Linked DNA regions of Alligator mississippiensis. The protein of the gene in region 3 binds, or shares a complex with, the protein of the main gene of each other region. Links are inferred from orthologs where the notes say so. Each region holds a gene or a part of one and is shown on either strand. Other genes may lie near its edges.

What was found.
Region 1: TMEM231 (region 3) and TMEM107 share a complex: the UniProt entries of both Homo sapiens proteins name them as parts of the tectonic-like complex. The link is inferred for Alligator mississippiensis from reciprocal best matches to the Homo sapiens genes TMEM231 and TMEM107.
Region 2: TMEM231 (region 3) and TCTN1 share a complex: the UniProt entries of both Homo sapiens proteins name them as parts of the tectonic-like complex. The link is inferred for Alligator mississippiensis from reciprocal best matches to the Homo sapiens genes TMEM231 and TCTN1.

Annotation. Positions count from the first base shown.
Region 1 is NC_081838.1:25,053,173-25,056,918, reverse strand, and holds the start of TMEM107 (transmembrane protein 107), read right to left. Parts: upstream 2,683-3,746; 5' UTR 1,642-2,682; coding exon 1,555-1,641; intron 952-1,554; coding exon 884-951; intron 611-883; coding exon 510-610; intron 423-509; coding exon 326-422; intron 1-325. UniProt on the Homo sapiens protein: Plays a role in cilia formation and embryonic patterning. Requires for normal Sonic hedgehog (Shh) signaling in the neural tube and acts in combination with GLI2 and GLI3 to pattern ventral and intermediate neuronal cell types.
Region 2 is NC_081833.1:3,218,403-3,222,148, reverse strand, and holds the start of TCTN1 (tectonic-1), read right to left. Parts: upstream 2,702-3,746; 5' UTR 2,693-2,701; coding exon 2,446-2,692; intron 1,900-2,445; coding exon 1,779-1,899; intron 1-1,778. UniProt on the Homo sapiens protein: Component of the tectonic-like complex, a complex localized at the transition zone of primary cilia and acting as a barrier that prevents diffusion of transmembrane proteins between the cilia and plasma membranes.
Region 3 is NC_081833.1:77,757,244-77,760,989, reverse strand, and holds the start of TMEM231 (transmembrane protein 231), read right to left. Parts: upstream 2,964-3,746; 5' UTR 2,949-2,963; coding exon 2,807-2,948; intron 2,689-2,806; coding exon 2,522-2,688; intron 2,213-2,521; coding exon 2,084-2,212; intron 1-2,083. Other genes in the region: GABARAPL2 (gamma-aminobutyric acid receptor-associated protein-like 2), read left to right, coding at 3,472-3,505, 3,584-3,639. UniProt on the Homo sapiens protein: Transmembrane component of the tectonic-like complex, a complex localized at the transition zone of primary cilia and acting as a barrier that prevents diffusion of transmembrane proteins between the cilia and plasma membranes.

The DNA.
Region 1 (3,746 bases), on a different chromosome or scaffold from region 3:
GGCACCTACTGGTTGGGGGGGAAATGGGTCTTCCACATCCAGGGGGCCCCGATCTGGGCCTGATGGCAGGGCACAGATCTCTCCACATCCAGGGGCCCCCGATCCAGGGGTACCCACTGCCTGCAGGGGCGGTGGGCACAGGTCTTCCCACCTCTGGGAGGTGCTGGCCCAATCTGGGGCACCCACTGGCTGGGGGGGGGCAGGGGTCTTCCCACCTCCAGGGGGCCCCAATCCAGGCCTGATCCAGGGGCACTTGCTGGCTGGGGGGCAAGGGACAAGACCTCCCCGCTCCAGGTCTGGGGGAAGGGAGGTTGGGGGCACTGACCTGCCGCAGGCAAAGATCCCCCAGTAAGTGGCGCTGTCCCACTGCTCGAAGAGGACGAAGAGGAGGGCAAGGGCAGCGCCCACGTGGGCCCCGCAGGCTGGGGGGGTGTCAGGGGCCACAACCGGAGCTGCAGGGCAAGACCCCCCAAAAGAGACCCCCCCCCAAAAAAGAGGTAGAAGGATACAGAGCAGGCCCTGCAGAGGGTTGAACATGGAGACCCCTGAGAGGAAGCCAGCCAGCTCCACCGCGAAGAGCCCCAGCGTCACCGACAGGGCCACCACCAGCCTGCAAGGGTGGGGGAGGAAGAGGGTGGGCCCAGGATCGGGCCCCCTGCCCCTTGGGTGCCTGGCAAGCTCCCAGGCCTGGAGAGACCCCAGGTGTCCAGGCTCCCAGTTGCCCCCTGCTCTCACCCCCTGGTCCTCACTCCCGTCCCAGCACCCAGAGCAGGGGGGCTTTCAAGACCCCCCCCCAAAAGCAGAGAGGCCCCATGTGTCCAGGCTCCCAGCCCCGTCCTGCTCTCGCCCCCGGCCCCCCAGGTACGTCCGGGTGGGCACGCACTCGGTGTCGCGGCGGCCGTACTCCTCGGGCGTGTGGTCCAGGGGCAGCGATGCCCGGACGTTGTCCTCCTGCGGCACAGACAGAGGCACGCGGGTTGGGGGGGCCGCGCTGCAGGGACCCCGGGCATCAGGACCCCCCCCCACTTTCACCCGCCAGGCCCGTGTGTGTGCACAGCGTGCGCCTCTTCCCCCGGGTGCAGCCATATGGGCGTGCGGCATGCCCCCTGCGTGTAGGTGTCTCATGAGTGTGCACAGTGTGTGCACGCTGCCTGTGGTGGCAGGCAGTGTGCAACCCATGTGTGTGCAAGCTGCACGTCCCCTATGTGTGCACGACACAGGTGTGTCCCCTGGGGTGCATGATGCATGTCCATCTCCCCTGTTTGTGTGATGTGTGTGCATGTCTCATGCATGTGCATGATGCATGTGCATGTCCTATGAGCGTGCGTGGTGTGCACGTGTTGCCTGCAATTGCAGGCAGTGTGCGCCTCATGTGTGTGCAAGGTGTGCCCCTATATGTGCGCGATGTGGGGGTGTCCCCTGCGTGTGCATGTCCCACGTATGTGTGATGTGTGTGCATGTCCCACACGTGTGCACGATGCGTGTGCATGTCCCCATACGCGTGCACGATGCGTGTGCAGAATGCAGGCGCGTGGCGTGTGCAAGCCGCCCTACCCGGGCCCAGAAGGCGCCGATGACGATGACGAGATGGGCCACGAGCGCCAGGAACCGCCACGGGACCAGCGCCGCCGCCGCCGCCATCGGGCCGGTGCCCGGCAACGCCCCGCCCCCTTCCCGGCGGCCCCCGCGCCCCTCCCCCTCCCCGGGTAACGCCCGGCGCTCTGCTGGGGGGGCAAGCTGTGCCCTGCGGTGTGACGTCACCCCGCGCTGACGTCATACCCGGAGTGACGTGGCCGCCCCGAGCGGTGAAGGCGTCGGGCTCGAAATGCCCCGGGGGCTCCGCGCGCGGGGTCGGGCTGCCCCCCCATAGTTGCCGGGGAGGGGGGCATTTTTGGCACCAGCTCTCCCCCCGCAAGGGAAAGTCCCCCCCATGGGCAAATGGCAGCACCCCCCCGTGGAAGAAGGGTAATCCCTCGCCATGGGCAAATGCCCCCCCCTTGCGGGCTCTGGCACCTGAGGGGTTAATGCTGCCCCCCCCCCCACGGGGTGCTACGATGGGGGCCCCAAGCGCAGGACCCCGCCCCGCGACGGGGGCGGCTCACCCCCCGCCCCCCGCCTACGACGCGAAGTCTCCGGCTACCGTATTCCCCCGCCTACGACGCGCGCCCGCGAGCTGCGGGCAATTGCGGGCTCGGCCCCGGGGCTGGCGGGGGCGGTGTGCCGACCGCGCACGTGCCAGGACGGCTGCCAGGACACAACGCCATAGACGTCCCGCCCCCGCCCCCCCCCGTCCTGCCGGACCCCTGGGAGCCCCAGCTGGCCCCGGGCCCTGAGGCAGCCGCCGGAGTGCAGCCGCCACGGCGCGGGCACGCGCGGTAAATGTAACGTGATACAACTGGGCAAAAGCGGCCCTGCCTGGCGCGGCCCGGGCTTCCCGAGCCCCTGCTCCGGGTCCGCATCGTCCTCCTCGTCGCCTGCCTCGGCTCCCGTGGGGGGTCCCGCCTGCCGGGGCTGGGGAGGGGCCAGAGGGGAGTTCCGGGCGGGGGGAGCCTGCCCTACTGGAGCCCCCAGTTTTCGCACTGCTTGGTACACACACACACACATACTTGCTATCACACACACACTCCCCAGGCATCTCACACACACACATGCGCACACATACGGAAAGACACACAAGGGGCATGTCACATGCTCTCTGCCCCGTCCCCCTTAGATCCCAGCCCCGCCCCCCGACACTCCGGAGACCCCCCTCCCTGCTCCATCTGTTCACACCGCCCCGGGGTCCCTGGGTGGGAGCTCGTGCCGCCCCCCCAGGAGGCCCCGCTGCCCAGGTCACGTGGGGTGCCTGGCCCTGGAGGGGGGGTCACTGCACCACGTGTGCCCGTGTGTATGTATGGGTGGGTGTGTGGGGTGTCCATATGTATGTGTGCCTGTGGGTATGTGCATGTGTGTGCGTGTTTGTGCGCGTGTGTGTCCCAGATAGTGTATGTGTGCATGTATGTGTTCATTTTGGACACCTGAGCTCTGTGTGTGTGTACATGTGTGTGGGACACCTGGCGGGGGGGGGGTGTCCATGCCCTGGATGCCTGGGTTCTCTGTCTCCCAGACACCTGGATTGTGTGTGTGTGTCCTGGACGTCTAGGTTCTGTTTGTATGTGTGTGTCCCCCACAAATGCCTGGGTTTTGTGCGTGTGTCCCACACACCTGGGTTCTCTGTGCACATAGGTGTGCATGTGTGTGTGTCCTGGATGCCTGTATTTTTTCTGCATGCATCTGCGAGAGTGTGTGTGTGTGTCTGAGCCCCCTGGGTTACCTATGCCTGAGCGCACACGTGTGCATGCTTGTGCGTGAGTGCATTTCCACGCATGTATGGGTCTATGTCCTGGATGCCTCAAGAGTTTGTACACGCGTGTGTGTGTATGTGTGTGTCCTGGACATCTGGGGTTTGTGCCTGAGTGCATGTACTTCCGTCCGCCCCGGACACCTGGGTCCCATGGGTGTCCCTGGGGTCCCCACAGCCTTCCCCTCCCCCACCGCGCCGTCTCGGTGCTGCTGGCACCTGGGGGAGGGGGCGGGCAGCCCAGGCGCCCCCTCCTGAGTCTCAGTTTCCCTTTCTGCAAGGAGTGGGGGACGGAGTCATGGGGCCGCTGACAGCTCCCGTGGGGGGTTCACACCTGCTGGGAAGGGGCCAGAGGGGAGTTCCCGGGGGGAGGGGGTGTGCGCGCATGCGTGGGGGGGGGGAGAAG
Region 2 (3,746 bases), about 75 Mb from region 3:
TTACGATCTGCTACAATCCTTGCAGGAACACAGCTGTTTACATGTGCAGTGCCACGTAATACCAAAGCCCTGACCACTCATGGTCATTGAAAATCCTTTCAATGGCCAAAAAAATATACTGCTTGATTTTATGCCTTTCTAGTTAACAGGCCCAGAATATTCACAGCCGGGGATTAAACTGTCATTCAGAAATTCATTATTAGACCTTTCTGAAATATATATAAATACCTATAAATAGGTAGCAATGTGCATTGTGTGCAAGAACAATGAGAAACAGCAGTCCTAGGTGACTGCTGATGCAAATTTCAAAGAATCAGGAACCAGCACTCAAATCGGGGTAATTTATTCAGGAAGTGGGCTGAAGAGCTATACTTATTGTTCCGAGAAGTCACATGGAGCTATTTTGAATTGAGTCTAAAATGAGCTTTGTTAATTCCTGTTTAAGAAGCTGAAGTCTATACAAAAGGTATGTACTAAAATGGACTATAACTGCGCAAAAAGGAAACAATGGTCAGTACAATTATCTTGATTTTTGGAATATATTTTAATATTTTACTCTATAGCTTCCAAAGGCTGTTGGAGAGAGGAGAGAAAGAATGCTTGCTCCTAAAGAGAACAAAGATCAGCTCATGGTACTTAACGATGGCTCTGATTCTCTCATGTTTCTGGTTAACATGATTATAACTCCTATAGGCAGGGTTTTCAAACTATCATGGGTAGACCAGTAGTGATCTGTTATGCTAAGACACGGTTCAAATTTACCCAGGTCCTGGGACAGATCTAGACTGCAGGAGCTACTTCAGGGCTGGATTCACCAGGCCAGCAACAACTGCCGTGGGTCTGCACTCAAGCGGCAATATGGAGCCAGGGGTTGTGTTCGGGTGGCAGCATGGGGGCAGGCAGCAGTGTGGGTCTGGGAGCCTGCTGCCAGCAGCCATGTCCACTGGGGTCCAGGAACCCTAAATTGTGTGGGAGGCCACACTCCCCAGCCGGCTGGACTACTGGTGGGCCTGATCCAGCCCGCGAGCTATATGCCTGACACCCCTGTGCCAAGACACTGAGTCTGTTTTGACACAGAAATCAAACGCAGCCCGTTTCAAGCCCAACCTTTTTGCGGAGGTCTCCCATCCGAGCAGACGGACCTAGCCCCAGGCACAGAGAACGGCATACTAACTTAAGTGAAATCCGTGTAGTTCCCGAGCCTGTCTCACGTAGCCACCCGAAACGATAACGGGTGGACGCTACATCACCTCATCCTCATGTCAGGTGTAGGCTGGAATCAATCCGAAGGCAACAGTAGGAGTTTAAGTATCAGCCCTATGCTTTAGTGAAGAAAGGTGCTACCCCACAGAACTACTGATAATATCCCCATGCTCCTCAAAAGGGACCTTTTACAATGTAAAGCTCTCTCTTACTGCAGAAAATATCACAACTCACTTCCATCCAGGAAGAGCACACACCGACTGCTGAAACTTCCTTAGCCTGACGAAGGGTTTCTGAACCCAAAGGCTTGCTTAATAACTATTCTCCAACTATTTGGGTTGGTGTAATAAAAGATATCAAATTCACCCAAGGAACCTTGTCTCTCAACTCAAGAGACCTTTATCTTCCCGCTCCTTGGAAACGTCCTTTGGCTGTAAAGACAGACGGCCGAAACTAACTGCAGAACCAAGCCTCCACCCGCTGAGATCAAAGGACATTTTCTTACAGAATTCAATGGAGTGTAACACAGTTCTGTAATTTCAACTTGAAAGAATTATAATCATTTATAAACTTACGTGACAACAGGAACTGAACACGTAGTGAAGAGGCTGAAGTCTGCGGCGCCGCAATCTGGGTCGCAGCAGCAATTGATGTCACACTGTGCCACCAACAGGTTACAGACGCACAGCTTCGCAACTGGAGAGAACATTTAAAACACACTCGGGACTGGAGGTTAGTGGTTACAGCGCTCCCTAGCACCCGCTCTTCACGCTGCCTGGACGCTTCTATGCAAGTTCTCAGATGTTAGCCTTTTTAAAAGCCATGGGGTTACTTTTAAAGAGAAATAATTCCTCTCCAGCCGTTAATCTGCTAGGAGCAAACGACCAATGAATCTGTATTGCTCGCGAGCCCAACGCGCGGGCTGGAAATGCCAAATAACGATCGTGACACGGGATGCAGAGAGAAAGGGCAGTCGAAACGATATAGGAATATTAGCAAAATTTATGCCAAGTATTCGATGACACCCAATCCCACCCAGCACACGTGACCCAGAGAAGGTTTTTCTGATGTGCTGCTCGAAGCAAAGCTGCTGGTTTGTTGGGGTTTTTTTTATTTAAACATGTTCTCTCTTTCCTCTTCTGTAGACTGGGAGGGTGCACACCCTGCAAGAGCTTGTTTCCATAAAATAAGGCTGCGGGCTCGCAGCACGAGGACACGTCTGTCAAGCACAACAATACTTACGGTTATAAACAAGAGCCTGGTCTTTTAACGCGGGTAACTCAGCCCCAAACTCAAGACCAAAATACTTGAGGGCGCACGCGGGGCCTGATCCTGGCACCTGCAGATTGGTGGAGGGGACGCTGGGCCCCCCCCCCAGGGCCTCATCCCGGCACGGGCCCGATCCTGGCGCGCGGCCAATGCCTCCAAAGACCCGCGGAGGGTCCTGTCCCCCCGCCCGGGACTCTCCCGCCACGGCCCCGCTCCTCATGGCGCCGGCACCCACCGTCCGTGAGCGGGGCGGCGCTGGGGACCGGCTCGGCCCCCCCGGCCAGGAGCGGGAGCGGGAGCAGGAGCAGCAGAGCGCCCAGCCGCAGCGCCGCCGCCATGGCCGCGGTCACCAGGCAACCGCCGCGGGGCATCACGGGAGAGACGCTAACCCCCCCCCCGCCGCAGGGCATGACGGGAGAGGCCGCGGAGCATCACGGGAGATGCGCTAATACCCCGCCGCAGGGCATGACGGGAGAGAGGCCGCGGAGCATCACGGGAGAGGCGCTAATGCCCCGCCACACGGGCATGACAGGAGAGAAGTGGTTCCACCGCCGCGGGGCATGACGGGAGAGAAGCTAAGCCGCGGCCGCGGGGCATCCTGGGAAAGAAGCTAATCGCCGCCGCGGGCCACCGGGCCGCGGGGCATGACGGGAGAAAAGTGGTTCCACCGCCGCGGGGCATGATGGGAGAGGAGCTAATGCCCACCGCGGGGCATGGCGGGAGAGTGTCTCAGGGGCCGGGCTGACAGGTGGGTGCACGGTCCCTGCTGCTCTGCCGAGGGGTCCGGGCCCGGCTGGGGGCTCCCGGCTCTACCCCTTTGGGGCAGGCGAGCGGGCCGCGGGCTTGGCCCACAACACGATTCCCGCCTTGCGCTGTTTTCTTGCCGTCGGGGGAGCTGGGCGCGGAGCGTAACAACCACGTAATGACAGGGGCCTGGGGCAGCGGGAGGGTCGCCTCAGGGCAGCGTCTGTACCGACTTCCCTGGGAGAGCCGCCAAGATCGCGGCTGGGCGTGCTAGCGGTACGGTCCCTCGGTCAGGAATCGTATGGCGCTGTGCTGATCCCGCGCTGAACTAAGCGTTACTGAACGGCTGCAAAATACAAGTGAAGCGATCCGTTATGGCAAGCTTATTCTCTCTAACGCTGATTTAAAAACCAAATTCTTTGCTTAAGAAAAGCGCTCCGTCCTTTAAGACGCTTCCAGGTGACGATAAACAGTCACGCGTTAATATTCGCCACCCCTCTGAGAGGCGCGTAAGCAATTCTTATGCCCAT
Region 3 (3,746 bases):
CCCTGGCAGATGTGAGGTACTGTGGGTCAGGAGTAAGGGACAGCAGCAGGGCTGGGGGGGAGGGCTGTGGCTTGGGAGTGAGGGGCAGAGGTAGGGCACGGGCATATCACTGCCCCCACCCCACTAATCATATTACCACCTGCCTCCCCACCAATGCCCTCTTTTTTTAAACAAAGTGTGGTAACCCTACAGGAATGCAACTCAGCAGTGTGTAGAGCAGCACCCAGCAAGTAAATCTGGAGGGGAGGGGCCACGGGGAGAGGGAAGGGGCAGGAGGGGCAGACTGAGGCCCCCACAGTGAGGGAGGGAGTGGGGAAGGAGCTGGGGCGAATGTGGCCCCAGGGCCAGGGCGCATCATGGGACAGAGCTGTGGGAGGCTTGTCCAGGGACATAAAGTACGAGGGATGGAGCTCCCTGCTGCTGTGCACACCTGTGGGGGAGGCATGTGTCCCCCAGATTTATGCACAGGGCAGAGGCAGGCTGCCCACTGTAAGCTGACGCTCTGTGCCTGCTGCCTTTGGCCCAGGAGCCATGTGACACTATGTTGTGCCTCCCACCACAGGTGGGCAAGGGACATGCGGCACAGCCAGCGTGCAGTTCCCAGGGCAAAGGCAGGGGGGAACAGAGCCCCAGCCTGCAGCCCATTTCTGCCCCATACACAAATCTGGGGGGCACATGCACCCCATGCTCCCCACAGGGGAGCACACAGCAGCGGGGAATCGCACCACCCCCATGCCCCTGAACAAGCCACCTATGACTCCGTCCCACAACCCACCCTGGCCCCGGGGCCTCATTCACCCCAGCCTCTGCTCCAATCCGTCCCTCACCATGGGGCCTTGATTTGTTGCCCCGTCCCTTCCCTAATAATTGACAGCCCTACTTAAAATTTTAATCTCTTAAAAGCTATTTAAAAAAGATGCATTGAATTCATGAGCCTCCAGCAAGAATTTTTACAATCTGCAAGACGTAAGCTGTACGCTTTTCCTAGACAAAGCAGAAACCAGGGAAAACATCTCACTTTCTGAGGTCAAGCTTCATAAATATGGCAGAACAGATTACATGCTATGTTGAGGATGCAAGTAATTGGTAATGCCATCACAAGCGTTTGACCTGGGCTCAAGCTCTAAGACACAACTTCAGGAATCATCCAAGTCCTTCACTGAGGCCAATACTCTTACTTTACAGCTTGCCCTTCTCCAAGCTCTGATTGGCTCCTTTCTCAAATTATTAAATATTTATGATGCCACACATCACAGAACATTATGATGTGACTATACACGTGTTAAAGGACCCTCCTTGGTAGCAAAATGATATAGCAAACCTAGTGTAAACCTACATGTTTGGACAGTTTCATCAACCAATGGAAATGTACCTTCCCTTATATCAGTAATTCTCAATCTGGGTGTCACGATCCTTTCACGAGTGCCATGGGTTGCCACACAGTGTTATCGCTGTTAGGCATGCAAACACAATTGACAAGCTAAGCCCAAAGATTTCAAATAGGAATCCAGAGTGTTAAAAGCGTTCTGACCTGTTGTGGCCCAAGTTCTTTGCAAAAGAAAAACTGCTCTGTCTATAGGCAAAAAATGACTAGAAATTCAAAGCTGGCACTTTCTGAAAGTTGCTTTGAATCTAACATGGAGTGCCTTGACTCCAAAAAGGTCGAGAACCACAGCCTTACATTAAAGGAGTACAAATGGAAAAGCGAATTAGAATGAAAATTCACTGTTCTAAAAATAAGTCGTAACATAAGTCTCACCTACTAGAGTATTGCAATCACTTCTCTTTTCTGTTATTATCACTTTAGATCAGTGTTCCTCAACCCATGGGTCACATGTGTGACCAAAAGTGGGTCACAAGAATATATGAAAGGGTAATGAACAAGCTTTAAAAATGGATTCTCCTTTAAAAGGAAAAAAACGTGGGAAACCGCGGCTGCCCCACAACTGGGTCGGGACTGGCCATCGATGTTCACAAATGGGTCCTGTACAAAAACGCTGAGAACCGCTGATTGATATCATTGCTACTGGGAAGCCGGCGCTGGCTCTGCACCGAGGAGCACTACAGGCAGACGGGGACTCACGTGCAGTTGGTAGGAGAAAGTCAGAATGAGCTGCACGCCAAGCACTTGCTCCTCTGGCTTCAAAGGAAGCTCCAGTTTAAAATGCAACCGGTCCATCTTGCCATCTTGATTCTTATCTTCTTCTCTAGTCTGCAAGTAACAAGGAACCCTAATGACGCTCTGGCCTTGGTGCTGGTGCCAGCACGGTCCCAGCGGCAGACCCTCGACACTAGGAAGGATTTCCAAGGGGGAAGAGCATGCATGGCCCCGGCCTGCAGGAAGGGGCTGGAGCCGAGCCAGGCCCGCGGGCTGTGCCCAGAGCAGCGCTTGCAGCCACCTCCCACCCGCGGCAGGTGACAGCCTGCGCCCAGCCTGACCCCAGGGGCCTGGCCGGGCTGCGGCGACAGCGGACGGGGGAACCGGGCACACCCCGGCCCCGGCCGGCGCCGCCACACGCACCGCGACGAGCGGGACGCGCAGGCGCTCTCCCTGTAGGCGGTTGAAGGCGGGGAACGTGCTCCAGGCCAGGCCGCCGCCTGGCGCCGCCGTCGTGGCCAGCAGCAGCGCCTCGTAGCGGAAGCGGACGGCCGGCTGCTCGCGGTACGCGGCCTGCGTGCGCCACAGTCCTGCGGGGACGCGCCGTCAGCCGGCAGCCGCGGGCACCCCACCCCGCCCCGCCCAGTCCCACCACCCAGCCCCACCCCGGCCCCCGGACCCGGACCCTAGCCCCGCCCGGCCGCGGACCGTGGCTGCGGTAGGCCACGAGCAGCGGCGGCACGTAGGTGAGCGCGCCCAGCAGCGCGAGGCCCAGGGCGGCGGCGGAGCAGAGCCCGGCGCGGTACCGCGTGCGCTGCGCGGGCTCCGAGAACAGCTCCACGCGGCCCATGGCTGCGTCGCCATAGCAACCGCGGCCGGCGCGCGGGGACCTAACCGAGCCAATCCGCGCGTGGCTCCGGCTGGGCGGGGCCAGTGCGCGGCGGCCAATAATAACGCGCCTACGTCCAGCAGCGAATCAGCGCCTGAAGCTGAGGACGCCCGAGTCCCGCCCCCCGCCCAGTCAGTGTCAGCCCAGTACCGGCACCGTCCACTAGTAAACGTCACCACAGCAGACGCCGGGGGCGGGGACTAGCAAGTGGATCACGTGGCCGCGGGGCGCGGCTTGGCTCCGCCTCGCGTCACCGGTCCCGGATGTCGCGACCCCGCCCCCTCCTCGTTGCTCGGTCACCGTGGGCCGGAAGCTCCGCAACCTATTCTGGTTGCTGGGCAACGGGGGGGCCGGAAGTCCCGCCCGCCGAGCTGTTGTTGTTGTGACAGCGACAGGCCCGGCCGCCCCCGGAGCAGCCCCGGCAGCGCCCCCGGGCCGCCGCGACCCCGGCTCCGACCCCGGCAGAGCCTGGCCCCGCGCCGCCATGAAGTGGATGTTCAAGGAGGACCACGCGCTGGGTAAGGCCGGACACCCCGCGCCCCCCGGGAGGCCCCCCCGGCCGCCCGGCCCCGCACTAATCCGCGCGTTGTTCGCAGAGCACCGATGCGTCGAGTCGGCGAAGATCCGGGCCAAGTACCCAGACCGCGTCCCGGTAAGTGAGCGCGGCCCTCGGCCCGGCCTTCCCCCGCCCCGCCCCGCTCGGACACCGCGTCGCGGGGCTCCGCCCTCCGCATCCCGCCCGCCCGGCCCGGCCCGGCC